Linked DNA regions of Ovis aries. The protein of the gene in region 7 interacts with the protein of the main gene of each other region in a biochemical or structural test. Links are inferred from orthologs where the notes say so. Each region holds a gene or a part of one and is shown on either strand. Other genes may lie near its edges. The genes, in order: MAPK1, KPNA6, CREBBP, MTA1, HDAC1, EGLN2 and HIF1A.

Region 1 (3,584 bases), on a different chromosome or scaffold from region 7:
GCTGATGGCGGGAGCACGCCCCGCAGCTCTGTAAGCCAGCACGAGCCCAGCCGAGGGCCGGGACGTCAGTGCTGAAGGGAGACGAGACGGTACCTTGGGGCTGGCCAGACAGGCCCAGCCTCAGCCCACGCTGACTGCCACTCACGCCCTAAGTCCTCTGGTCTCCCGGATTTCTTCTGATGCAAACCTGGCCCTTACCTTGGAGTTCAGCATGATCTCTGGAGCCCGGTACCAGCGCGTGGCCACGTACTCGGTCAGGAACCCTGTGTGGTCGTGGTCCGGATCTGCAACACGGGCCAGGCCAAAGTCACAGATCTAGGGGAAAGCAGACAGGACAGCTTCTGAGAGAGTCAGGGTCGCCAGCAGCAGAGCCGCAGACACTGGCGGGACACCAGCAGTGACGGCGGCAGCAAGTGCCACCATCCTCGGGCGGCAGAGCCGCAAGGCAACGGCACACACCCACCCTTACCTGCTCCTCACGACAACGGGAAGGCAGCCACCTCGTGTCAGGAAGGAACAGGTTGGAGGGTCTTGCCCAGAACACAATTTCAGCGGTATGCAGCCTCTACTTATCTGCTTACCCACAGCAAACCTGCTTAGGCCACTTGATAAACAGTTCTGCACGGAGAATAAGGTCACTCAAACCAGCGCCCAGTGAGCGCTGGAACGGTCACCACTGGGACCAGCTTCTCTGGCAGGGCCTCTCTCCACACGTGACCTCCCCCGCCTATTCTGCCCACCTCCTTCCCCTCCTGTAGTCAAACCCACTCCCAAAGCCGTACAAGACGCTCCACATACTGAAGACGGATCCTTACCAAAAAAAATCCAGCTTCTAATTTCTCCTGACTCACGCAAGCTGGCCTTGACCACGCAACGGTCGGGGCTGCTCCAGATTACAACGTGCAAGGAGAGTAACCGGAACCTATTTGGTCCCCAACAACTGCAGGACCTTTTAATTCCTAGCTCCTGGGGAACTAATCCGAGAGACAGAGAGAAAGAAAGAGGGAGAGAGATGCTAACACAGACGAATCCAGCAGAAGGCAGCCTGGAAGACAGAGATCACTTTGGAGGCTGACTGCTTTAATTCGGTTGAAAAGTGACAAGGGTGAGCTCAGTCCATAAAAACAGAGATACGGAGGCAGGGATATTCAGAAGACTTAACGGACACCAGCCTCTGCAGAGACCCCACAGCTGGAGGTCGAGACAACTTAAAATGACTCTGAAGGCTCCGCCCCCCTCCTCAGGGCTCGCGGCTGTGGAGGCTGGCACCCGCCGCGGCACCTCTGACCCCCGGCCCTGCCGCTTCCTCGATGCAGCCCTCTGAAGTTCTGCGTCCACGCTGCCCAGTTCCGTCCTCTGAGCCCGTCAGCGCGTCTTCAGGAGGAGCCAACGCCACGCCCGCTCCGCGGCTCTTCCAGGGCCGTGCTCTGGGCACTCTGGACAGGGCTGCACAGTCGCTGCGGTATCTTGAGGCCCCTTGGCCTCCAGCACCAGCCTCGCCTCCACAGCCAGACGGCTTGCTGAGGCCACCACACCCGGGACAGCTGCAGGCTGACGGACTGTCTGCGTGTCTGCAACGCGCCCGCGCCACACACCACCCCTTGGGCACCCTCGGCTCACACGGCGTGGCCGGGTCCAGACATGAGTCACAGCTCTCTGTGGTCAGCGGAACCCCCGGTGAAAAGCCTGCATACAGGCCCCCAGATCAGCGGGCTCAGTCCTGGGGCTGACATCTCCACCTCCTCCAGGAGCAGAACAGAAGCAGGAGCCGCACTCGGGAGGCGGACAGGACCTCCCGCCTCTACAGAGACGGCCCACGTGGTGAGAGCAAGCTAAAGACAGCCGCGGCAGAGGGCTCCGCAGAAGAAAGCCACGCCAACGTAACCCTGACCCCCATGCTGGCCACAGCTCTGGGGCCGAGCTTGCATCAAGAGGGCAGGATTTATCTTCCCTCCTCTGGAAGCTGGGCAAGCCTTTCTAACTGCCTGAACCAAGAGAACATACTGGAAGTGGTGCCACGTGACTTCCGAGGTGAGATCACAAAAAGCAACGTGGCTTCCACCTGGGGAACTGGGAGCCTCTGGCCGTGTCGTGGGGACACCAGGTCACATGGGCGGCGTGTGGCCATGCCGTGGCACTAACCACCAGGCCTGTGGGCGACGGTCTGAGCCTCCAGGGCGTCTCTCAGCTGCGGTCCAGAGGCTGAGCCCAGAGCAGTCCCCCCCCCCCCGACCCCCCCGCTGCCTGACCAAACTTCTGACCTCAGAAACTAAGCATTCAAACAGACAACTGCTGTTTCAGGCCATGACATCTTGGGGGGCTTGAGAGAGGCTCCAGCCTGGGTGGAGGGGGGAGGTAAACAGGCATCCACGTGGGGAGGCGGCAAGAGCCCCCAAGGGAGCAGGAGTCTTGAGTAGCGGGCCCAGGAACGCACGGCACCAACCAGCTACGTTGCTGGGAGCTGCGAAGCGCTGACTTCTCTAACTTCATCATCCCTTGTGCCTTTATCAGCTGGCATTTACTTTTACCGTTATTCATCAACCGGGGCTTTGTGCCTACCTTGAAGTCCAGACCCTACTGGGAAGACAAGGGAAGCGTTTCCTCCTCCCCTGTGAGTTACCAGTTTCCAGAAGAGGGAGCTGGCTTAAGGAGGACCATGTTTTTCTATTGGTATCCTGCGCTCGTAGTTGATAAAAATTACTGGCTATAATTTAACGAATCAAGAGGTACGCGTAGGGAAACTCTGTTCACGGTCATCCACAGAACTCATGCGACGCTCACTGCAACACTGAAAGCTAATACAGCGCTGACCAAAAAACTGCCAAGGCTACCCAAAACAGTGACTACAGTTCTATGCAGAGGAAGGTAGACACCCAGGATACGGTACGGAAATAGAAAGCGACCTGGTCAAATGTCCTACCCCTCCTACCTGGCGACCTTTGGGCTGAGTAAATTCAGATTCTCCTAGAACAAAAGCCCCAAAGATCTTTCATTTCGTACCTTTTGACCCTCCTTTCTAGGCCCACCCAGAAGCATACACGCTGCGACCCCAGCAGCCGGGGCTCCCCTGGGGCTGCTGGATGGAGGCTCAGCAAGCAAACACCCGGGACAAACACTGCTGGAGATGACATACCCCTGAAGTTTCACTAAGAACACACTGCCAGCACAGTCTCCAGATAGGGTCCACAACCCTCGCTCTTCTGCGGCCCTGAGAAATAGACAGGGTGCCCGCAGGAAGAGGGCCCGGGAAGGCCAGGAGAGGCCAGTGTGTACTGGGTCTCAAGGCTGGGTACCAAGCACGAAGCATGTTATGGAAGCCAAAACCAGAAGCTGACTGCTGTTGGCCTTGACTGTACAGAGTCAAAGCTAAAGGTCTAAGACACTTGACAGAGCTGACACCCTGGTGGCTCAAGAGTGAAAAATACTAACACAGAAGTCAATGGAAACAGGGAGAAGTGACCTAATTACCTGCTTGAAAATTCAAAAAAAAAAAAAAAACACCTAAATAACAAGACATCAGTAAGGCCACCGGTTACAAACTTTCTAGGCCTGGGGCTGTGGGACGGCATCAGGGCCATCCCAAG
Region 2 (3,584 bases), on a different chromosome or scaffold from region 7:
CAGTTCTTCCTCTTGAGACCAATTAAGATTGACCTACCTAATATATAGAATATAAAAAAATACAGAACTTTTGACATTCTCTCCTTTGGAAGTCAAATATACATGATCCACCTACGGAAGAGGAAGAGGAAAGGCCAAAGGCAAGGATCCCCTGGCTATCCCAGTACATGACACTCACTCCAACCTCCTCTGCAACTTATGGGTCACCCGAGCAAGGACTTTCTCCTCAGGAGAAAGCAAGGACCACAGCCCTCTGTTGCGTGCTTAGGAGAAAATACAGCTACCTCAGAGGTTCATTTCAACTCTGAGGGGAATTTTCAAGTAAACAAATGAAGTCAGGTCGCACCACTGGAAGGTGGGTAGGAAACATGGGATCAGTAGCGACACATGGGAAGCCCTGTCTGAAGGCCTGTGCTCCTCCTCGCTGACTCCCACTGGTGCACGTGCCCCAGGAGAGTGAAGGGGATCTCCCAAACTAAAGAGGTCTGGGCAAGGGGTTGGAGGGAGGGAGGGGCCTTTCTCGCATGGTGACCTCCCCCTCAGTCTCTAGTCCCAGACAATGCTGGCAGCTGGGTTTCCTAATACCAGGAACTCATGGCTCTGGGAAAGAGCAATCTTAATACAAGAAAAAATGTGCAAAAGAAAAAATTAAATAATTCAATCCAAGCATACAAGATTAATATTCTGTCAGAGCAAGAACACTTTGTTTTGGATTTCTCCCCTCCCCTCCCACCCCCCTCACCTCTGGAATATTCCATCTGCTCAAGTACCCAAGATAAGAGTTACACAGATCAGGGCAGAGGACTGGGAAGGATGAAGGAAGATAATAGGGAAGGAAGTCACCACTAAAGAAAAAAATTAAAATTAAAAAAAAAAAAAGGTGCAAAATTGGTTACCTCAGTCCTCCTTTGTCTACCCCTGGGCTCCTGGGTTAAAGACATATGTGCAGCCAAAATATAGTGTAAGGAAGAAAAACCCAACACATCCCCTTCTTGTCACAAAACCCAAACGTGAGCCTCAGATGGTTCTGTCTGTCCAGAGGGTGCTCCCTCCAGGGAAGGGGTCGGAGCAGGTCAAGAGCACAGTTTCCAGGGCAGCAGAGGTGTGTGGTGGCTGATGGTGGGGGGGCTGGCTTCCCGCCCACCAGAGGGCTGCTTTTCCGCTGGTTGGTGGTGCTTCCCATCCCCTCCCCTCCCTGGAGGCAGACATTATAGCTGGAAGCCCTCCATGGGGGCCTCAGGCTGCTGGAAGATGAACTGCTGTTGCGTCTCATCCACTTGGGGAGCCAAGCTGCTATCATCATCTTCTACACCAAAGTAGTGCTCAATGAGGTCGAAGGCCTTCTGGTAGATCTCCTGGTTCTCATGGCTCTGGAGAAACTCAATTTTATCCAAGCCTATGGTGGCAACAAAGAAGCAGGGACAAGAATGAACTTGGAATGCTTTACTATGGGTCCATAAAACATGAATGCATTTTGCCTTCCCTGAGGTATATTAGCATTTATAAACAAAAGTAATATGATCAGGTCTCTCTCTGATCTGAAAGAGGAGAGCTGCGATCTTCAGTTAAAATTACATAACCCCAAAGGAAAACAACTAAAATGTCAGTTATTAATCAGTGGTTTAACCTGGGTGATTTGTTAACCATTCTGAATCTCCTGGAGATGAGTAGTGAGTCAACCCAGTACCCCTAACAGAATTTGCCAAGGAAACCATAAACAAAACAAAAAAGATAACCTGTAGAATGGAAGAAAATATTTGCAACTGATGCAACTCACAAGGGCTTAATTTCTAAAACATATTAACAGCTCACATGGCTCAATGAGAACAACAAATAACCCAACCCAACCAAAAAATGAGCAGAAGACTTATACAGACATTTCTCCAAAGACATATAGATGGCCAAGAGGCACATGAAAAGATGCTCAACATCACTAATTATTAGAGAAGTGGAAATCGAAACTATAATGAGGGTATCACTTCACACCAGCCATCATCAAAAAGTCTACAAGGGAATTCCCTGGAAGTCCAATGGTTAGGACTGAGCAGTCTCACTACCAAGGCCTAAATCCCGCAAGCCAAGAGGTATGACAAGTATAAAACCAAAAACAAACCAAAAGTCTACAAATAATGCTGGAGAGGGTGTGGAGAAAAGGGAACCCTCCTGTACTGTTGGTGGGAATGTAAACTGGTGTAGCCACTATGGATGTTCCTTGAATAACTAAAGATAGACCTAGCATATGATCCAGCGATTCCACTCCTGGGCATGTATCTGGAGAGAAGATATATACACCCCAGTGTTCATAGCAGCACTATTTACTATAGCCAAGACATGGAAGCCACCTGAGTGTCCATCAACAGATGATGGGTAAAGAAGACGTGGTGTACATTTACAATGGAAAATTACTCAGGCCCAAGTAAGAATAAAATAATGCCATTTGCAGCAAGATGGATGGACCCAGACATAATCATACTAAATAAAGTAAATCAGACAAAGACAATTATCATATGATATCACATATGGGGAATCTAAAAACACTGATAGAAGTGAACTTATTTATAAAATAAAAAGAGACTCACAGACAGAACACAAACTTATGGTTAACAAAGGGGGAAAGGTGGAGAGGGATAATTATGAGTTTGGGATTAGCAGATACAAATTCTGTGTGTGTGTGTGTGTGTGTGTGCGCGCGCAAGTGCGCACGTGCGCATGTGCATGCATGTGAGTTGTTCAGTCAGATCCCATGGACTACAGCCTGCCAGGCTCCTCTGTCCACAGAATTTTCCAGGCAAGAATACTGGAGTGGGGAGGGATAATTATGAGTTTCGGATTAGCACATACAAACTGTGTGTGTGCGCACGCGCGCGTGCGTGTGTGCACGTGCATGCGAGTTGCTCAGTCGCATCCCACTCTTTGACACATTCTGTCCACAGAATTTTCCAGGTAAGAATACTGGAGTGGGTTGCCATTTCCTCCTCCAGGGACTTTCTATGACCCAGGGATCAAACCGCATCTCTTGCACTGCCAGAAAGATTCTTTACCACTGTGCCACCTGGGAAGCTTTAGATACAAACTACTATTAACAAAATAGATGAACAACAAGGACCTCCTGTACAGCACAGAGAACTTATCTAGTATCTTGTAATAAGCTTGTTTATAATGGAAAAACAAAAGAAAGGAACTTGCTAGAAACTCAGCTGAAAACATGCCTTCCAGCTCCTTATCCTATTATCAATTCTGGAGCTTTATTTTTGCATCTGTACCATAACCTACTTACTGGGTACAGCCCATCAGAAAGAGAACTGATCTATTGCTCCTCAGAAGAAATGGAACTTGTGGGATAAAACTTTGCATTCAATGCTGACCATACACCCTCACATACATATACTACTTCAGAGGTTCTGAACTAGAACTTATGGTTCTGAACTCTGCTTATGGCAGACATTAGTTTGGGGAGAGGGCACATACCATAGGCTTCCTCGATGAGGCCACAGTAGGGATTGACCCCTGAGCCACTGCGCTTGCCCTCTTGCTCTCCAAGCCGAAGGATGTTCTCCAGTCCATTGAGGGCCACTTGCACAATC
Region 3 (4,198 bases), on a different chromosome or scaffold from region 7:
ATTTTGAACAATATACATAAACAGAAAAAAGTAGAAAGATCATTCAGTCTTTTTTTTTTTTTAGTTGAGGTACAGTTGCTTTACCATGTTGTATTAGTTTTTGCGGGTACAGGAAAGTGAGATCACTCAGTCTTAACACTTGAAGACCATCACAGACACTATATAAATGCTGTTTCTTTGAAGCAGAGTTTTTTTCTCTTTCCAAGAAGTTAACTCTGGTGCTGAATGGGGAGAAATATAGTTTTCAAGGGACGCTTAGTGGGGAGATGCCATTGGAGCCGGGGAGTGGGAGGAAGAGCGGTTTGCCCAGGTAAAGGACCTGGGAGGCAGGTTGCTCGGTGGGTGGAGAGGGAGGGAGGAGTCGGCGCTGACTCTCAGAATTCTGGCTTAGGGAACAGGTTGCTGGTGATACCTTTCAGATAAGGGCTTCGGATGAAGCGCTGGCAAGTTTTGAGAAGCAGATAAAAAGAACTGAGATGTGTGAACACCTCAGATTTTTGTGGAACCATCCTGTGGGGAGTGGCCAGGCGGGCCGATCCCCCTGGGACCCCACACCTGTCTGGAGCACCTGAGGGCTCCAGGAGGTTGTCGTGGGGCGGCGAGGGTAGCGCACCAAGGCCCGTCGAGGCCCTAAGCCCTGATGTAATGGGGCCTTCTGGGCCTGGGGACAGGCTGAGAGCGCCCGGCTGGAGGACAGCGCTCACCACCTCGAGGCAGGTTGAGGGTGTCGCACCTGGCGCCCCCGGGGCATCGGGCTGCGGAACAGGGGCTCAGAAGCCTGGCGACGCCCCTCACATCTCGCGGGGGCGTTCGAATTCCGGCCCCGCCACTTCCTGCCTCAGTTTCCCCACTGCACCCGCTCGCAGGCGAACCAGAGGGCAATGTGTAACCTGCAGAGGCCACGATACATCGCTGGCATCCGGCGAGGGGAAGTGGCCAGGCCTAGTCGCGGGGCAGCGGGGAGAGAAGCCGGGACCGAGCAGAGTCGCCCTGCGGGACAGGCGGGCCCTGTCACAGCCGACTCCACGCCCAGGGGCCCGGCTTGAGGCCAGGCCGCAGCCAGAGCTCTCACCGCCCAGTCGCCGTCAGAACAAAAGTGGCGGCGGTGCCGGCGCCCGGCGCCCCGCAGGCCGGGCCCCCGGCCGGCAGCCCCGCCGCCCCTCCGCCCGGCAGCACGACGCACGGCAACCGCGCCTTCGGCCCTTTCCGTCCGAGCGCGCTCGGCTCTTTCCGCCGCGGCCGGCGCAGGTGGAGGGGGCGGGGCGGGGGCCGTGCGTAGTGACGCCGCGGGGGGGTGACGCACCGGCGTGCCCCGCCCCCTCCCCCTCCCCGTTCAGGCTCTGGAAAGAGAAGAAAAAAAACTTTCTTTTTTTTTTAATTGAGGAATCAACAGCCGCCATCTTGTCGCGGACCCGACCGGGGCTTCGAGCGCGATCTACTCGGCCCCGCCGGTCCCGGGCCCCACAACCGCCCGCGCACCCCGCTCCGCCCGGCCGGCCCGCTCCGCCCGGCCCTCGGCGCCCGCTCCAGCGGCCCCGCTCGCCTCTCGGCTCGGCCTCCCGGAGCCGCGGCGGCGGCGGCGGCGGCGGCAGCGGCGGCGGCGGCGGCGGCGGCGGCGGAACGGGGGGTGGGGGGGCCGCGGCGGCGGCGGCGGCGGCCCCGCTTCGCGCATTGTTTTTCCTTACGGCGGCGGCGGCGGGCCGCGGGCGGGGAGCGGAGCCCGGAGCCCCCCGGTAGTCGGGCCGCGAGCGAATTAATTAAGTGGGGCGCGGGGGGGGGGGGGAGCGAGGCGGCGGCGCGGCGGCGGCACCATGTTCCCGGGGACTGCCTGAGCCGCCCGGCCGGGCGCTGTCGCTGCCAGCCGGGCCCGGGGGGGCCGCCGGGCCGCCGGGGCGCCCCCGCCGCGGAGTGTCGCGCTCGGGAGGCGGGCAGGGGATGAGGGGGCCGCGGCCGGCGGCGGCGGCGGCGGCGGCGGCGGCCGGGGGCGGGCGGTGAGCGCTGCGGGGCGCTGTTGCTGTGGCTGAGATTTGGCCGCCGCCTCCCCCACCCGGCCCTGCGCCCTCCCTCTCCCTCGGCGCTCGCTCGCGGCTCGCGCTCGCTCCTCTCCCCTCGCAGCCGGCCGGGGCCGGCGCCGACCCCAGCCCCGGAGCCCTCGCCGACCCGGCCGCCCGCGCTCGGGGCTGTTTTCGCGAGCAGGTGAAAATGGCCGAGAACTTGCTGGACGGACCGCCCAACCCCAAACGAGCCAAACTCAGCTCTCCCGGCTTCTCGGCGAATGACAGCACAGGTGAGAAGGGGGCCGGGCGGGGGGCCGGGGCCCCGGGCGTTGCTTGTCAGCCCCATCCGGAGGTGAGTGCCCCCGGGAGACCCCAACTCGGCTGCGGGCTGTGCGGGGCCCGCGGAGCGAAGGCCCGCGCAGCCCCTTCCCCCGGACCCCCGCCGCCGAGGGGGAAGTTTGTCGGAAGACTGTCATGGGGCCCGAGTGGGGCGGCACATGCCCGGTGCGCTTGGATCGCCCGGAGCTGGAGAGCCCTCCTCGCCGGGAGACCGAGTGGTACTTCCAGGGAGGAAAAGTAAAGTGGAGCGTGTGTATTCTGCGTGGTGATTCCGTCTGCCTCCCACTGCCGCCGTGTGTCCGTCCACACAAGCTTGGCTGGCTGGAGAGATGACAGCGGAGGGTACGCTGGCTAGTGAGAGAAGGAAATAGTGCTGCCGAAAGGAATCCCGAAGTGTTTTCTGAATCGGTAACATATACACAAGGCTGCGACCAGAGGACTTTCCTAACAGCAGCCAGCCCGTGAGTTACGACTTATAAGTTTCTTGGAATGTGCTTCCTGGGAAAATGCTTAGTGCTATTTTGAAAACTCTTGTCGCTGGTCACCTAAGCCATTCCATTTTTCGCAACCCAGAACTTCTTAGCAAGATGTCATAAAAGTTGCTGTGGAGTGTTAATTTCACGTGTATAACTTCGGAAGAAAGTTAAACAGCAGATTCATCTGGGCTGCAGTCTCCAGGGGAGCTTGTGGTGTTCTTACAAATGTACATATATATATATAAATTATGTTCAGGAATGTAGGAATTACCATTAAAAATTTATTTTTATCAGAATATTGAATAAATCGTTTAAACAGCTTGTCTGGAGACCTTCTTCGGTACTCCTATCAGTTACCTAAGAGAAGTAGTTTAGTTTTCTGTAGGTTTAATGATTCTGGGTTCTTCTGGGCTGGTTCACGGTAGCGTTATGTACTAGTTGTGTTTCCTCTTTCAGAGCTCTCCTTTGCAGTAAAACACAAACTTGTGCTCTGCTGCCCACGATTTGATTCCCAGCGCTGCTTGCATTTCTCCACTACGGTCTTGCAGTAGAAGCATCTGAAAATCAGTTTATAATGAATGGGTCCAAATTGAATTATATTGCTGCAGCAGTGCCTTCAGATTTGCAGTAGACACAGCTGTTCAGCTTGTGCAAATATTTCTTTGACCACTAGTGTTTTTCTACTAGTGGTCTAAATATCTCTCTATCCTGTTGAGACAAAACTTGAATTTTGTGGCTGCAGTTTTAATACAATTCCTAGACTATTATTTAATGTGGAAGTGACAGAAACAATCAAAAACAAAAAACATATCAGTCGTGAGATTCTTGTCTGGTTGAAATAAATTTGTTAAGCAGTGGAGAGGAATGAGTAAGTCTGGTGGGTGATTTTAAGTCACTAATAATACTCTATTTAAAAGCTGATAAAAATTGAGTTTGATGTTAATTTTTAAAATCGGCTTATCTGAAGTGAGAGATGTGGAAACAGGCAAGAGTTAAATGCTCTGATTTCACTCCATGAAAATACTATGGTTTTACTGCAGAATAGATCTCCTTTGCTTCGTTAATCTTGACATATTTGAGTGAAAAATCTTTGAACATATGAAATGTAGATCATACCAGACGAGTTTGGCCTTGAAGCTTGTCCTCTGAAACTGGTAACTTTTGAATGGCTTTGCAGCTTTGCTATTGTTAAATGAGGTTATTTTAGATTTTGTTTTATAAAGAGGGACAAATTAGTAACATGATACTTTAACAGAGAGGCTTGTTGCACTATATACTTTCAGCTGTTTCCAGGATGGTGCACAGTGGATTGGCCTTTGGGGCAGTTCTGTTCCAGGATGGTTAGATACTTAATGTGCTGCTAATCACAACAGAGTTTTATCAAAA
Region 4 (3,584 bases), on a different chromosome or scaffold from region 7:
CTCTGCTCACGGTGGCGGCCGTGTCCACGGGCCCAGCTCTCCTGCCCTTGGGCCCCAGGGGAGCTTGTCCAAGCGTTAGGTCACGAGACCTGCGGGGAGTGGGTCCCCCCGAAGGAGGGAGCTGGCGGGGCTGGGGAGGCCCCCACACCCGGCTCAGGGCAGGGCCTCCGTCTCCCCAGGATCCTCCGTCTCATTGGGCCAGGGTGGACCAGGGGAGTGGGAAGGATACTCGGGCCTCTTCTGGCAGGAGGGATGGAGGCTGGGTGGGCGCCCACTGCGTGGTCGGATCTGCTGCTAGAGCTGCTTCTGGGCCTGGAGCCCGAGGCATGAGCTCGCGCCCCGCCCCGCTAGCACAGATGCCCCGGGCCCGTGGGCCTCCCCAGAGCAGGAACGCCCTCACCGGGTCTGCAGGCCTTGGGCTGCCTGCCCGGCCCTGCTCACAGGTGCATGGGCCTCCCGCAGAGCTGTCCTGAGAGCCGGACCTTGCCTGAGGAGCAGTGGGCGTGGGACAGGCCCTTCCAGGAACCCCAGAGCGAGTGCGGGGCTCGGGAACTGGTGGGGTGTGTGGGTGAGGCCCCAGCTCTGAGCCCAAGGCCAGGACTCGCTGGATCCCAGAGGGAGGGGCTTTGGCCCCAGGGGCTGTGTGCCCCTGGGTTCCTTGACGCTGGGTACCACAGCCCATTCATGTCTGCGGCTGCAGAGCCACGCAGAGACTCCTGGTCTCCTGGGGGCAGGGGTCAGCCTGGCCGAAGCCCTGGCTGCCCCTGAGGCCGCAGTGTGGCTCCTGGCCGCTCCTCGTGTTACTGACGGTTGGGAGCCCCGGTGGGCCTGTGTCGGCGTGAGGAGGGCGAGGTCTGCGGCCATGATAAAAGGGGCCCCAGGGCCTGACTCTGGCCCCGGCTCCTTGCTGCTCTGCCGGGCCGGCGAGGCTGCCCCTGGATGGTATGAGCACCAGTGTGGGCTGGGGGCCGTCTGAGTGTGGGTGACCCCCTTGCGTGGGGCTGCCCTGGGGTCCCCAGGGGTGGGCAGGGTGTGACGTGGCTGCAGTGTGGGTGGGTGCCCAGGTCCCTGTGGCCCCCGCCCAGATAGCCTGGCTCGGCCTCCTCCCCAGCTGCCCGCACCCCAGCCCCGCCCGCCGGCTGCAGAGCTGTGGACTCTGGGGGGCAGCGCGGGTCCCTGCGCAGCCGCCACAGGGGGGCAGCAGAGGGCTGCAGGCCGCACAGGGGCCCGAGCCTGCTCCATGCAGCCTCCTGGGGGCCTCGGGGTGGAGGGTCGTCTGGCTGTGGGCTTGGCTTTCCCTGTCCTCCTGCGTAGCCCCAGACCACCACTGCCAAGGGCACTCCCGCCCCAGGCCTGCCTGTGCGGAGTCCACATCCTGGAGGCCCCCCGCTGCCCCCCACATGCCAGACTTCCAGGCTCTCCCTGTGGGCGCCAGTGTCTTAGCCATGGGGGGTGGCTGAGGACCCCGGGCAGGAAGCTGTGCCGCTGATCTGGCTTGGGGACCCATCCTGCCCCCACCTGGTGCCCTGGGCCCTATTCTCCGGAAGGTCTGCCTCCCGCCGACTTTGCCCAGACAGGCCAGCCCAGGCTGGTCTGGGGTCTGCTTGGAGGCGTGGGTGGCGTGGGCGTGGGGGTGGGCAGGGCCGAGGTCAGCTAGGTGGGACGTCCTCTGGCTTTGGCTGGGTGGTCTGCGGGCTCCTGTCCACCTTGCCTCCCAGCCTCACCCCCTCAGCCAGGCTGGGTGCTGAGGCTGACCTGCTGTCTGGGCGCTGTCTGTCTGTCTGCTGTATAGCCCTGTCAGTCTGCTATAAGACCGGATCGGGGGCCGACGCCGGCGAGGAAGGTAAGAGCCGCCCTTGCCGGAGGGTCCTGGCGCCTGTGCGCCGGGCTGCATGCCCGCCCCTGCCTGCCTGCGGTGAGGTGGGCCTGCGGAGGCCCCTGCAGCTTGGCCTTGAGGGGGTTCTGGTGCAGGGGGGCACGGGACATGGCTGTGGGGTCTCTGCCCCCCGGCCCTGGACGTGCAGCAGCGGCCGCCTCGTCTCCCCTGTCTCCCCTCGGCTGGCTCAGGACACGTCCTCCTTCCTGATGAGACTTCCCGGCTGCGGGCTGCTGGGGCGGCTGGGCTAGAGTGCCTGCCGGGGCCCCCTGCGGGGCGGGGGCCGGGGGAGCCAGCGGGTGGGTCTGTTCGGTGGCCTGAGTCCATGTCCGCTCTGTCCTTCAGGAGAAATAGAGGAGGAGATGGAGAACCCGGAGATGGTAGACCTGCCTGAGAAGCTCAAGCACCAGCTGCGGCATCGGGAGTTGTTCCTGTCCAGACAGCTGGAGTCCTTGCCTGCCACGCACATCAGGTACCGGAGGCCTGGGCGGGGACCGCACGTCAGGGGCCGCAGGCCCGGGTGGTGGGGACCGCACGTCAGGGGCCACAGGCCTGGGCAGGGACCGCACATCAGGGGCCGCAGGCCTGGGCAGGGGACCGCACGTCAGGGGCCGCAGGCCTGGGCAGGGAGCACAGGTCAGGTACCCCAGGCCTGGGCGGGGACCGCACGTCAGGGGCCGCAGGCCTGGGCAAGGACCGCACGTCAGGGGCCGCAGGCCTGGGCAGGGACCGCACGTCAGGGGCCGCAGGCCTGGGCGGGGACCACTACCGCAGGCCTGGGGCAGGGAGCACAGGTCAGGTACCCCAGGCCCGAGCGGGGGACCGCACGTCAGGGGCCGCAGGCCTGGGTGGGCACGGGAGCACCCGCCCGCCCTGATGCCCGCCCTCCTGTGTCCTGCCTCGCAGGGGGAAGTGCAGCGTCACTTTGCTGAATGAGACCGAGTCCCTCAAGTCCTACCTGGAGCGGGAGGTGAGGCTCCCCCGCCCCCCGAGGGGCACAGCTTGTCTTGCTGGGGGCGGGGAGGCCCGTGGCAGCTGCCCTGGTTGCCGTCTGGGCTTCCCCAGCAGGCGGGTGCCCACCCAGCCGTCCTGGCGGCCATGTCCCGGCCACACTGCGCCGACCCAGCGTTGCTGGCCGGGCAACTGGAAGCGTCTGAGTTTGTGAAACGGGTCGTCAGTGCTGCCTGGGCCAGGGGACCAACCTCGTCCCACTGGTGGACGGGCCTTGCGGTGATGCCCAAGCTCCTCACCCTGTGGCCGCTGTCCTTCCCGCTGTGACCCCCAGGGTGGGTGGTTCTGGCGGGCTTGCCTGTCTATCGTCCCCTCTCCCGAGAAACGTGATGATCAGAGCCGTCTCCAGAGGACACACGCGTGTCCCTGGAGCAGCAAGACGTATCTCCAGGGAAGCAGGGGGGCCACCAGGGGTCGCCGCAGCGGGGCTCGGGCGTTATCCTGCAAGGGCAGGTCAGGGCACGGCCAAGGGGACACGTGCCGCTGGCTCCCAGGGGACCTGCCCATGGACCCCTGCAGTTCCTGCCGGAGTGTCATCCCCTGCGGGTGGCACCCTCCCCAGGCAAGGCCAGGCTCTCCCGGGGCCCTGAGGAGCGAGCGGAGGGGGCGGTGTGGACTGGGAGTGCAGGTGGCTGCCGGTGCCAGCGGTCCGGCGATCCAGCGAGGGCGGCCTGGTGTGCAGCCTCCCTGATGCCTG
Region 5 (4,174 bases), on a different chromosome or scaffold from region 7:
GACCTCACTGAGAAACTCACAAGTAGTTTCTCAGAAAGGAAGAGATCACCCTTCTCTAAAGATGGAGGTCTTTCCACTTTTTCTCTTTTTAAACTGAGAATGTGGAGATCACAAAACTGTGCAAACTGATAAAGCTATGAAGTCACAGACTCCAGCTTCAAATGGGCCCTCACCACTGCCCAGCAAGGCTTCAAATGTTTTTACCTGCTCCCTCTTTCATAACAGCTATCTCTCTTCAAGATGCCTATTCTACCCAACTGCCCTCCCCAACTCTCACGAAAAGGAATATTTTCTTACTTCATCCTAAAAGCCCCCTCCGCTTTCCATCTTCTCTCCTTCAAACATGTTTTTTCTTGCCACTTAACCTCTCATCCCAAAGGAACTGCCTCTTGAAAGAGGGGTGTCCCTACGTGTGCTCTGGTTTCCATCTGACCTGATCTCTCCTCAGGGACCTCCATCGTTACTAGCCCCTCTCCCCAGTATCTTCAACCTCTCCCTAATTTCCATAAAAATTTGCACATACTTAACTCTCAGCCACTACATCTCTTCTTTATTAACAAGCCTCTCTCTGTCTCAACAAGCTTCCTTTTAAAGGGACTTCGTTGGTGGTCCAGTGGTTAAGACTCCGTGCTTCCACTGCAGGGGGCACAGGTTCAATCCCTGGTTTGGGAACAAAGACCCTACACACAGAGTGGTATGATTTTTAAAAAAGTTCAATCTAATGCCTCCTCTTCACTCAACCCTTCAGTCTACAGCAATTTAACTTCAGTTCTAAATGCTGCACAGGAAACAGTTCTTGCCGACACTTGGCCACTCCCTCCCTCTTTCGGCTACTGTAACCCAACACTTTCTGGTTCACTTACATCTCAAGTCATTCCCTCTGTATCTTTATTCACTTTATGAACAGTATTTTTTGAGAATCTACTACGAGCTAGGCACTGTTTTGGGGGCCTGAGTATACAAAGGTAGACAAAACATGATCCTTTTCCCTAAGGAGTTCACTGTCTGTAAGAAGTATGAATAAGTAAATGGGCAATTCCAATACACAGTGACTAATGCACAAATGTACTCTACACACCAGGGAGTACAGAGCATGAAGAACACTCGACTTTTTCTCAGTCCACCTCCTTAGAATCCCACCCTGGACCCTCTTCTCTTTTCACCCTATACAACTTCTTATATGGGATACAAGGGTAACTGCATCCTCTTCTGTAACTAAAATTATCAGCTGTATGTATATATGCTGACAATCATCAAAATTTTCTATTTTCTCATTTGTCTTCTAAACTGCAGACCTGAATGGCCACTGCCTACTGGACACCTCTACTTGGGATATCCCCCAGACATCTCAACAAATGTTTCTTTAAAAAACAAAACCCAACATTATCAACTGGAATGGCCTTCTACATTCAGCATGAAACTGCCCAAACTAGATACTTGGGTATCCTTGCCTTTTTCCTTACTTCTCCATTCATGCGTTTAACTTCTGTCCCAGAGTGATAGTTCTAAGGTACAATAAATCTGATGATGTCACTAACCTGAATACTTCAGTGATTCACCAATGCCCAACTTGTGAATATAATCCAACTTTCTTAGGGTGGTGTGCCCAGCCTTTCGTGATCTGGTCCCCATTTACTTCTCTAGCCTCATCACTTGCAACCCTTTTCTCACCCCTGCTCTACACCTTCTAACACTGTGCCTTCAAATTTATGTCTCCAACATACTGTACATCCAGCCATTTTTCAAAGGTGCTCGCCTCTCTCTTACCTCTCAACTTGTTGTTATTTTTATCCTTCCTGGGCCTAGTTAGTAACTCCTGCTTTTCAGGTCCTAACTGAGATGGCACCTCCTTGCCTGACTTCTCAGGCTGGGCAGATACTTCGCTGTGCTCCCAGCAAACTCTGAGCTGTCCTTCCTCCCAACCTGATAGTGTAGAGCAAATTTTCTGTCATGGTCTATATGCTCCTCCAGACTGAGTGAAAGGAAGGTGGCAAGATCATCCCCTGGCCTCAGCCCCTAAACGATACCTAGAACAGAAGAAGCTGCTGCTCCACAGATTTCTGTTCAACGAAAAAGTTTGTTTTAACAAGTTGCATCCTTCTTCTTCCAACCCCAGGAGTCCCATTTCCCAGCAGCAACCGCAGGGCCCGCTGGGAGACAGGGGGAGGGGAGCTGGTGACCTCTAGGTGCTGAGTCCTGCAGGCCTCTCACCAGAAGAGATGAGGAAGGAAAGGGGCAGTGAGAGATCTTAGGATTCTCAGCAGAACATGTCACCCGGCAATCTTCTTCACCAGATTCTGCCTCCTGCCTCGGACTCAGCCTCCTCTCTAGGAGGCCGCCGCAAACTCCACATCAGACTTCAGAATTCCCCACCAAGGTGACCTCACGCTTCCCCAGGCGACCCTCCTGACCTCGGACCCCCCCCCCGCCCCCGCCTCCCCTCTAAGCCTCGACCCCCTTCCCCTCAGCCTTCTCCCTCAAGCTCCACCTCCTTTCCTCTTAGCCTCCTCCCTCAACCCCAACCTTTTCAAGCCTCTGCCCTCAGCCTCGACCTCCTTCTCTCAGCCTCAGCCTCCTTCTCTCAGCCTCCTCCCTCAGCCTTTCCCAAACGCCTCAGCCTCCCCCCTCAGACCTCCTCGGCTCCCTCTCCCGGATCCCGCCCGGCTCGGGCCCGGCCCCGCCCCCGGCGCGAGGACTGTGCTCACCGTCGTAATAGTAACAGACTTTCCTCTTGGTGCCCTGAGTCTGCGCCATCTTGCTCGCCTCCCGTCCCTCCCGTCAATCGGTCCGTCCGCCCTCCCGCCGGTGGCTCCGCTCAGCGTCCGACCCGCGGGGAGGGGGCGGGCCTCCAGCGTGCTCCGCCCATCCCCGCCCGGGCTCACCTATAGCCGCGCAGCCCGGGCACGACTCCAGCCAATCAGCGGCGCTGGGACGGCCCGGAACTCGGCGGGGGGCAAGGGCAGCCCGGCGAGGCCTCGGAGGGCCCCCTGGGCCTGTACCAAGGTCCGCGACAGGGGGGGGTGGGGCTGCCCCGGGATCGTACCATTCGTCCCGGGGGAAGAAAGTGGGTCTGCTAACTTGGGTGTCCCATTCCGTTTTGGGAGACTGCTTGGCGATCAGAGGCCAACTTTCATTTGACAGAGGCCTACGATGGAAAGTGACTTGCGCAAGGTCACTCAGTTAAGTTTGGAGGGGGAGAAATATAAATTGACAAACGACAGGAAACTGCTGTAGACGAAGGACTGTGCCATAGCTTTACCGACATTATCTCGGTCATCTCTGTTGTTCCTATTGGCGGCTTTGGAGTGGGGCCTTTCATCCGCATTTTACAGACAAGGATAACGAAGTTGAGAACTTTGTGACTTCCTGGGAGTCACACAATAATCACGTTCAGTTTTCAACCACAGATTTTTTAAAACGCTTACTCGACTCCAGAAGCACATATCAAAGTGGCAGAACCCAGCCTTTCTTATTCCAAATGCGGTCTTTCTTTTCAAATGCAGTCCTTTCTTACTCCTGATGCAATTCCTAGGCGGCCTAAGGAGTGCCTTTAGATGGGAGGAAACTGTTGCTTACACCAGAGCAGAGTTTCTAAAGATACTGAAGCTGTTAACATTTTGGATAATACACAAATATGTTGTGGGGGGCCATCCTGTGCACTGTGGGCTTCCCTAGTGGCTCAGACAGTAAAGAATCTGCCTACAATGCTGGAGACACAGGTTCAGTCCCTGAGTGGAGAAGATTCCCTGGAGAAAGGAATGGCTACCCACTCCGGTATAAGGATACTGGAGAATTCCATGGACAGAGGAGCCTGGCGGGCTACAGTCCATGGGGTCCCAAAGAGTGGGACACGACTGAGTGACTAACATTTTCACTTTGTCCACTACTCTTAGATGCCAGTAGCACTCCCCCAGCCCTCTGCAGCTGTGACAACAAAAATTGTACTTAGACATGGCAAAATGTCTCCAGGGCAAGGAGGAGAGGATTGGAGGAAGTATAAAAGTGCCCCCAACCCAATCCTTGAGAACCACTGCACTAGATCAATCAGTCAATCATTATTGAAAGCTAAAGGCTGAAAAGCACTGTGGTGGGCTATTAAAGAGGCAACTACAACAATATTAATATTTGGTGAGTGCTTACTGTGTGCCAAGTAAGTTACTTATGGTTCTACAGT
Region 6 (4,102 bases), on a different chromosome or scaffold from region 7:
GGCATGCAGGGTGCAGTGCAGCCCAGCACCAGGCATGGTGGGCATCTTCCCTCAGCCTGGCATGGGCCTCACCACTGCCACCTACCTCTCCCAGTTCTCCTACCTGGGAGACAGACTAGACAGACAAGACACGCACAGTGGACAGGATGGACTAGATACACTTGGATGGAGGAAAAAATAAGGAAACAGGAAGAACACAAGATGGGCAGACAGACAGAGACACAAACCTTGCCCACTTGCTCTAAGGCCCATGAACAGACATCACAGGGCTGCTGACCCCAAGAAGGCTCAGACACAGATGCAGAGCTACGAATGGCGACACCTCTCTTCAGGTTCTTTGAGAGGATCCCCGGCAAGGTCAAGAATCCCGGTGACTATGGGCCAAACCCACAGCCTGCAGGTGTACAAACTAAGGCCCACAGGGCACAAGAGCCCACAGTGAGCTCTGACACTCCCTGTACCAGGGCTGCCTAAACCCTTTTGTGACCCCAGAAGCCTGTCCCCAAACTCACTGATACTCAGAACAACAGGCGTCCAAGTGCCTGGGGACCCCGTCCCACCACCCCTCACAGCAGGTCTCCGCGGCCTCACCTTGGTGCGCCCATTGATGACATAGCTGCCCAGCCTCCCAGCACAGTGGCGAATGACGGCATCCACGTGGGCCATGAGGGCACCGATGCTTTGGCAGCCCGGCTCATGGCCTTCCACCCAGGCAATCTGGTCCCCACGGATGCTGCGTGGCGGGATAGCCCGCTGGCTCACAAGCTGACCGTCTCGCAGGCGCCCGCCCCGCTTCAGGGCCTCTACCTCCGCCAGCACTTGGCCACCCAGGGCCGCCCCCAGAAAGCTGTCCTTGACGCAGATGCCATAGTACCGCATGCAGGGCACAATGTAGTCCAGGGCCAGGCGCTCGGGTGCCGCGGGCAGCACCTCCTCCCTCAGCCCGGCGCTGGCCTCGCTGCTGCCACTGCTGCAGCCCTCCCCCTCCGCCTCTTGGTTCTCCTGCCTGGCCCAGGGCCGCTTGCTAGGTGCAGGGGCATCCCCACCATCCTCTGCCCATTTCCGTTTGGGGGCCTCGGGCCGGGCGCCCTGGGCTGCCAGCCGCTGGCACCCCTTGGTGACCAGTGCCGCAGCGCCCTCACTCTGCAGCGGCCGCAGCTCGCCGCCATCCTGCCCACCGAAGCCCTCCCGCAGGGGGCTGCCTGTGGCGGAAGTAGCTGTGGCTCTGGGGGTCCCACTCCCCGCTGAGGCCTCAGTGGGCGCTCCTGGACGGTGGTAGGACAGCAGGGGACAGGGCAGGTAACTCTCCACCCCCATCCTGGCCCGGCTAGGCTCCAAGGGCTCTGACACTGAACCCGGCAACTGAGGGAGAGCCTGACTCAAGGGCTGGGGCTGGCACGGGCTGTCCATGGCAGCAGTGTCTTCATCCCCCGGGCATGGAGGGCACGGCCCAGGCCCATGGTGCCACCCTCCTCCACCTCCTCCTCCTCCACTTGATGCAGCCGGGGGCCGGGGCGGCTGGGCCTGGCGTGGGGCAGGATGAGGCAGGGCAGGTGGCAGAGGCTTTTCTCTCGCCCTGGGGGTGTTTGCTGGTCCCCAAGTCCTCTGCTGTCCCTAGGGGCTTGGGAAGGGACCTGTCACAGTGGCTGGAGAGAAAAAAAAGGAAGGTGAGAAGAGCTACACAGGCAAGTGCACTGGCGGGGAGTGGGGGAAGTGGTAGGGGCAGTAGAGGGCAAGGCAGACTTAGCTACAAAGACCCCAAAACCTGAGGTCATGGCGGGAGGGGGGGTGGGGGCGGCGGAGACTCTGGGACTTGGGGGGAGTCACGAAGAGACAAGGGGCAATAAACGGGACAGCTGGAGAAGTGAGGCTGGGTAGGTGACCCACAGCCAGAGGACTGCAGTGGGGGCTACGGGTGAGATACATCCTCACACACAGACCCACAAACAAAAAAGAAGTAAAGGAGGGGACTCTTAGTAGAAAAGGATGGCGGAGCGAGAACTAGAAGTTAGAAACAAACGGGGAGGACTGGGGGGAGGGGGGCGGATCAGTCTGGAAAACACAGAAGGAAGCGGGGGGGGGGGATCTACAGACAGTGGAAACTGGTGGCGGGGGGGGCGGGGGGGGGTTCCCGAAACAGAAAAAAGAATAGAGCGAAGAAGAGAGAGAGTGGGCCTGAGACAGCCGAGCAGAAGCGGGTGGAAGGGTCGACCCGAGCCCAACAGGAGGAAAGCCCGTTAGGGGCTGACACACACCCAGACGGAAGGGAGGTCCTGAGACGGACAGACGGAAGGGAGCCGTGGGAGCAGGGTCCACGGCGACAGAGGGAAGGGTGGAGGAGGGTTCACGCACTCGGGGACAGGACGAGGCGGGGAAAAAGAGCCCCCCTCCCAAGTCCCTCCGGTGCGGGCCCGGAGGCCCCTCGGGGCGCAGCAGGACACGAAGGCAAGGCCTAGGGACCGCTGGGACCCCGTGTCCCCTCCCCTCCCCCCCGCTCCGCCCGACGCGCGCTCCCGGCTCCCACCCCAACACCCCCAACGGCCGGCGCCCGACGTGCCCGGCGCGCGCTCCCTCCCCCACGCCCCACCCCCACCTCCCCTCCCCTCCGCTCCCCTCCCCTCCCCGGGGTCGCGGCGCTCCGCCAGAGTGCCGGGCGCGCGCCCCCACACCGCGCCCGGCTCGCGCCGGCGCCCGACTTCCAACTCCTTTTCCGCCTCGTTCCCTTCCCTTCCCGGGCTCTCCTCACCGAGCTTTTTCCTCCGGCCCCGGCGCCGCCGTTTGTGCCAGCCGCCCTGCGCCGCACAGCGCGCCATACCCCGCCCCCACCACCCGCGACGCCCCGCCCCCGCCTCGCCCGGTGGACACGTGACCGCGTCCGGGCGGAGGAGATGAACAGGCGCAGGCGCGAGCCGCGCGGGGCGGGGCGACGGAGTTCCGAACACCCTCTTCCAGGAGAAAGGGGAAATAAATGGATCCGACGGTAACGCCGGGCTTCTTGGCGCCCTCCGCCCCGCCCCTTTTGTGCGAGAGGAGGAACGCAGTTAGGAAGGGCCGGATAGGGCGGTGGGGGCGGGGGGCTCGTATACGACGCCAAGCGAGTGGGAGGGGCATGTAAATCAGCCTATTTACATAGACAGGCCGGCCAGTCTCCTTGGAGCAGAGAACGCTGCGGGAGGATGAGCAGTGGGGTCTAGGAGTGGCATGTATATCATGGATGTTATTAACATGGACAGCCCCGCCTTCTCACAGCCCAAGATTAGGACTGAAAAGCGTCTGGGCAAATAGTTGGGAAATGTATGTAAATTTGCACGACAGCAAGTAATTTACATAGGGACATTTTATAAAAAAGAAAAAACCGCAACGTCCTTGAGAGAAGGGAGAGAGGACTAGAAGGGATGTGCAGGTTCTGACCCGCTCTGCCCTGCCTCTTCGGGACAACTGTGTGGAGTCCGAATAAAACCAGCTAGGAAAGCTAGAGAAGACACTGGCATGACTATCTCAAGAGTCTTTTGAACAGTCTGGACGACCTGACCTAGGGGGATAAAATGCAGATGAGGTCATTTTAAATGCCCCGCCCCCTCCACCAGCCCCAGGCTGAGCAGGGACTCTGGCCTCCCTTGAGGACGGTTTAAGGCCAGCCTGGGGGAGGGAGAGCCATTGGGAGTGTCCTCAGTGGGTTGCACCAGTCCCTGGCAGAGCCCGTGCAGGTGTCAGCGGTCCACCTGGACACAGGAGGTAACACTGACCTTAAGTATGCATGGGGGTTAGGGTAGTACAAAAGCCCACACAGTCTTCAGGGGCACACACAGGGTTAATGGTCACACACAGGTGTGTCAACAGAGCCAAATACACACCAAAACACACACAGATCTCAGGGGCACATATGCACAGTCAAGCACTAACTAGACACTGCCTCAGACTTTCAGGCATCAGAAATGCATAAGTATCACCCACTGAGCAGACTCAGGGCTCACCCACAGGCCTGAATTCTCATTCCCTAGCCTCAGCGTCCCAAACATCACCCTTGTAGACACAATCACCAAGGGCACAGAGCACTCACAAGCAAAGTGTCACACACACACAAGCAACACTCATTCCTACA
Region 7 (3,584 bases):
GTATAAACATGAAAAAGTTTGCTATGTTTAAAAATAATTTACCATCATACACATTTCCTTAAGAATAATGACCAAAGTATAAGTTTAATGTTACGTATAAATACCTTTGACTCAAAGCGACAGATAACACATTAGGGCTTCTTGGATGAGATTTTTCTGTCTGTTCTATGACTCCTTTTCCTGCTCTGTTGGGTGAGGCTGTCCGACTTCCAGTATCACTATATGGTGTCGTTGTGGCACAAGGAGGTTCTTTAGGTACGTGGGGAGGAGATGGAAATGCAATCAGTATTTTAATGTCTTCCGTACCATCTTTTGTCACTGTTTTCAATTCATCATTGGTGGCGGTGGTAGTGGCGGTGGCTATAGGAGGTTCTTGCATTTGAGTGGGCTGGAATACTGTATTTGTGCTTGCACTTTGAGGACTTGTAGAACTGTTTTCCAGTGGTGACAACTGATCAAAGGAACGTAACTGGAAGTCATCATCCATTGGGATATAAGGAGCTAACATCTCCAAGTCTAAATCAGTGTCCTTTAAAACAAGATACATGAGTTTTTACAATGGCCATACCTTATGAAGCAAAAACAAGTTAAACCCACAGCCACTTGAGAATAAAAATTAATAAATAAATTTTAATAGAAAATATATATAATAAACAAGTTTATATACCTGAGTGGAAAATGGATTCTTTGCTTCTGTATCTTCAGCAAAAAGTTTCTCTACCAATTCCAACTTGAATTCATTGACCATATCACTATCCACATCAAAACAATATTCACTGGGACTGTTAGGCTGTAAAAAGAATTAATATATTTTACTTTTCTCTGAGGAAGCTTGGATAAATGTTTTGCTAGTTGTTAGAATTTGCAAACCTCATCTCAGAGAATATACAACAGAACTCTTCTCTTCTATCAAATTATCTAACTAGTGAGAAATTAAAATTTTGAACTTACACTTATAATTTTGTCAATATATCCATTTCTAACTGTACATAACATCATTTATAAAATTAAAAGATGTGTTTATCTGCTTATTCTAAAGAATAAAACTCACCTAATAGTTCAACACCCAATGGTACCTAGCTGGCCAATAACTAGATGATACACTCACTGGAATCTAGCTGTGTACTGAGGCCATGTTGCTATAGTGATCTACCTAAAAATCGCACAGCAAATCTGGGGGGTGAGGTAGGGACAGGGCTGCAGACTGAAGTTCTTAACTTGTATTCACCTTAATGAATGTAGTACTAGTTTAGTTTTCAGCAAAAATTCTAACCAAAAAATGACAGCTGCCTATTCTAAGCATAAACTTTTGCCTTCCTCGTCTTAACATTTTTGTTAGATTTATTTTGGTTGGATTAGAAACAAAATGATTCCTTTTTTGCGCTAGACGAAACTGAGCCTCCAGCGAATAGATACATTCTCTGGAAGACTATGACATGTCAGATCTCCTACTTTTTTAGCTTGCCAGTTTGAATGAATAAATATTTAATGTAAAATAATGTTATCACTTTTTAAGGCTTAATTGAGCCTCACTTATAAACTCATAATACTCAAATATGAGTAGTCCCCATCCATGAGCATGTTTTTAGACATAAGAAGCTCTGAAATCAAGTATGTCTAGATTGGGATATAGAGCCCTATTTGATACTGTCAGTCTTGGCCCAGCTAGCCCTTAAAGATTGTTTTTATATGAGAAAACTAATATCAAGACAGAACTTAAATTTAATGTAAAGTTTTTACTCTGGGTAAGACTTGGCATTTTCATGTAATACTTACACAGAATGTCAATACAGTGATGGAAATTGTACTAAACTGGGCAAAGCCCTTTGCTACTGGATAATTCTCCAACTCAAAGGGTAATATGAATGGGCTTGGAGCAGTCATAAGCACACAGTATTGCCCTCTGTGGATGTCTAAATTCAAGACTTTTATTGTCCTACTGATATTAAATACACAGAGGAGCAATGTATGTTTTACCTTTTGCCTTATGTTAAGGCATCTCCTTCCCACATTCCTGATTGTTTTTGAGCCTGAAACATGGGACTGAGGTCAAAGTTAGGCAGAGCTTTTGCAGTAATTTTAAAAGTGCTAAAAGTCACACAAACAAAACTATGACATGTGGTTCAAATTTACAAATACATCCCCAAACATTAAAATCTATAAGTTATCCTTTTCTAATTATATTATGACACCTACCTCAGGTGAACTTTGTCTGGTGCTTCCATCAGAAGGACTAGCTGGCTGATCTTGAATCTGGGGCATGGTGAAAGAAAGTTCCAGTGACTCTGGATTTGGTTCTAACTTTAATGCAACTTCTTGGTTGAGTGCAGGGTCGGCACTACTTCTAAGCGGCTTTGGAGTTTCAGAGGCAGGTAATGGAGACATTGCCAAATTTATATTCTGCAGTTTCTCATTAGATGAGGGGAGCATTACATCATTATACAATGGAACTTCCTCAAGTTGTTGGTCATCAGTCTCTGTGTCTGTAGGGGAAAGATTACCTAGATTTTAACATATACAGAAATTTATGTCCCCTCTTACAAAAGGTTTGTCTAGTTGACTTAAGTAATAAAAATGTTACCAAATTTTACTTAATCTAAAAGTCTGCAGATACTATGGTATAACTCTAAGTCTGAGTTATCCTACCAATCCACTATTGACAACTTCTGTAATCTATAGCATAAAAACCCCTGCATTCCAACCTTCTCATACCTTGTATTTATTAAAGTTTAACCTAGTTTGAAATTAGTTTTCTTTCTCAATATCTGATATTATGGTACAACGCCTTATTCTTCAGCTCAACTTATGGCTGCTGCATATAACTGCCCACTTGTGCAGAAGACATGGCAGCAGGGTACAGAAAAAGAGCAGCTGGGAGCAATCAGAAGTGGGAAGGAGAGACGCCCTAAAAGCACTGTGGAGCACAGTCTCCAAATCACAGGGCCAAAGGCCACAATGTCCAAATGATCATCAACAACAAATGGTAAAGTTTAGGCAATTAACAAAATAACTAAAGACCCACCATTGCTGCCAAAATCTAAAGATATGATTGTGTCTCCAGCAGCTGGTGCCAGCAAAGTTAAAGCATCAGGCTCCTTCTTAAGTTTATCAAAGAGACTGCTTGTATCTTCTGATTCAACTTTGGTGAATAGCTGAGTCATTTTCATGTCTGAAGATTCAACTGGTTTGAGGACACATTCTGTTTGTTGAAGGGAGAAAATCAAGTCGTGCTGAATAATACCACTGTCAAAAAAGAGAGATTAGTAATTCTTAAATGAGAACTTGACACAATGTTGGAGGAGGAGGACTCTGAAATGTCTCTCAAAAAAATTCAAAATTCTGCTTTATGGAATGATGCCTTAAAATCTCTCTCATGCCTACCTGGTCATGTTCAGGGTTTAAAATCCAAAATATGAAATAAAGACCTATTAAAATTCACAATACAAGATAATTCAAATATTTGATTAATTTCAGTTAAGAAACTTCAGCTATCCCTTTGAGAAGACTGGTGGTAACAAAGAAATGTAATAGTCAAGTACATGTAGGACAATAAACAGATCTTTTGTGCCAACATGGAATGAAAT

What was found.
Region 1: of the proteins of HIF1A (region 7) and MAPK1, one has a biochemical effect on the other in vitro, tested with the Homo sapiens proteins (3 studies listed by BioGRID). The link is inferred for Ovis aries from reciprocal best matches to the Homo sapiens genes HIF1A and MAPK1.
Region 2: the proteins of HIF1A (region 7) and KPNA6 form a complex in vitro, tested with the Homo sapiens proteins (2 studies listed by BioGRID). The link is inferred for Ovis aries from reciprocal best matches to the Homo sapiens genes HIF1A and KPNA6.
Region 3: the proteins of HIF1A (region 7) and CREBBP form a complex in vitro, tested with the Homo sapiens proteins (6 studies listed by BioGRID and IntAct, with this or other methods). The link is inferred for Ovis aries from reciprocal best matches to the Homo sapiens genes HIF1A and CREBBP.
Region 4: the proteins of HIF1A (region 7) and MTA1 form a complex in vitro, tested with the Homo sapiens proteins (2 studies listed by BioGRID). The link is inferred for Ovis aries from reciprocal best matches to the Homo sapiens genes HIF1A and MTA1.
Region 5: the proteins of HIF1A (region 7) and HDAC1 form a complex in vitro, tested with the Homo sapiens proteins (2 studies listed by BioGRID). The link is inferred for Ovis aries from reciprocal best matches to the Homo sapiens genes HIF1A and HDAC1.
Region 6: the proteins of HIF1A (region 7) and EGLN2 form a complex in vitro, tested with the Homo sapiens proteins (3 studies listed by BioGRID, with this or other methods). The link is inferred for Ovis aries from reciprocal best matches to the Homo sapiens genes HIF1A and EGLN2.

What each region holds. Positions count from the first base shown.
Region 1 is NC_056070.1:72,077,215-72,080,798, reverse strand, and holds part of MAPK1 (mitogen-activated protein kinase 1), read right to left. Parts: intron 316-3,584; coding exon 199-315; intron 1-198. UniProt on the Homo sapiens protein: Serine/threonine kinase which acts as an essential component of the MAP kinase signal transduction pathway. MAPK1/ERK2 and MAPK3/ERK1 are the 2 MAPKs which play an important role in the MAPK/ERK cascade.
Region 2 is NC_056055.1:235,353,873-235,357,456, forward strand, and holds part of KPNA6 (importin subunit alpha-7), read right to left. Parts: coding exon 3,469-3,584; intron 1,397-3,468; coding exon 1,209-1,396; 3' UTR 1-1,208. UniProt on the Homo sapiens protein: Functions in nuclear protein import as an adapter protein for nuclear receptor KPNB1. Binds specifically and directly to substrates containing either a simple or bipartite NLS motif.
Region 3 is NC_056077.1:3,737,285-3,741,482, reverse strand, and holds the start of CREBBP (CREB-binding protein), read left to right. Parts: upstream 1-1,398; 5' UTR 1,399-2,202; coding exon 2,203-2,287; intron 2,288-4,198. UniProt on the Homo sapiens protein: Acetylates histones, giving a specific tag for transcriptional activation. Mediates acetylation of histone H3 at 'Lys-18' and 'Lys-27' (H3K18ac and H3K27ac, respectively).
Region 4 is NC_056071.1:67,462,059-67,465,642, forward strand, and holds part of MTA1 (metastasis-associated protein MTA1), read left to right. Parts: intron 1-1,792; coding exon 1,793-1,843; intron 1,844-2,221; coding exon 2,222-2,348; intron 2,349-2,782; coding exon 2,783-2,846; intron 2,847-3,584. UniProt on the Homo sapiens protein: Transcriptional coregulator which can act as both a transcriptional corepressor and coactivator. Acts as a component of the histone deacetylase NuRD complex which participates in the remodeling of chromatin.
Region 5 is NC_056055.1:235,260,678-235,264,851, forward strand, and holds the start of HDAC1 (histone deacetylase 1), read right to left. Parts: upstream 2,821-4,174; 5' UTR 2,755-2,820; coding exon 2,706-2,754; intron 1-2,705. UniProt on the Homo sapiens protein: Histone deacetylase that catalyzes the deacetylation of lysine residues on the N-terminal part of the core histones (H2A, H2B, H3 and H4).
Region 6 is NC_056067.1:49,455,224-49,459,325, reverse strand, and holds the start of EGLN2 (prolyl hydroxylase EGLN2), read right to left. Parts: upstream 2,819-4,102; 5' UTR 2,747-2,818; intron 2,560-2,746; exon of another isoform or gene 2,256-2,559; intron 1,647-2,255; 5' UTR 1,411-1,646; coding exon 592-1,410; intron 1-591. UniProt on the Homo sapiens protein: Prolyl hydroxylase that mediates hydroxylation of proline residues in target proteins, such as ATF4, IKBKB, CEP192 and HIF1A. Target proteins are preferentially recognized via a LXXLAP motif.
Region 7 is NC_056060.1:71,948,994-71,952,577, reverse strand, and holds part of HIF1A (hypoxia-inducible factor 1-alpha), read right to left. Parts: intron 3,244-3,584; coding exon 3,023-3,243; intron 2,484-3,022; coding exon 2,197-2,483; intron 791-2,196; coding exon 668-790; intron 530-667; coding exon 105-529; intron 1-104.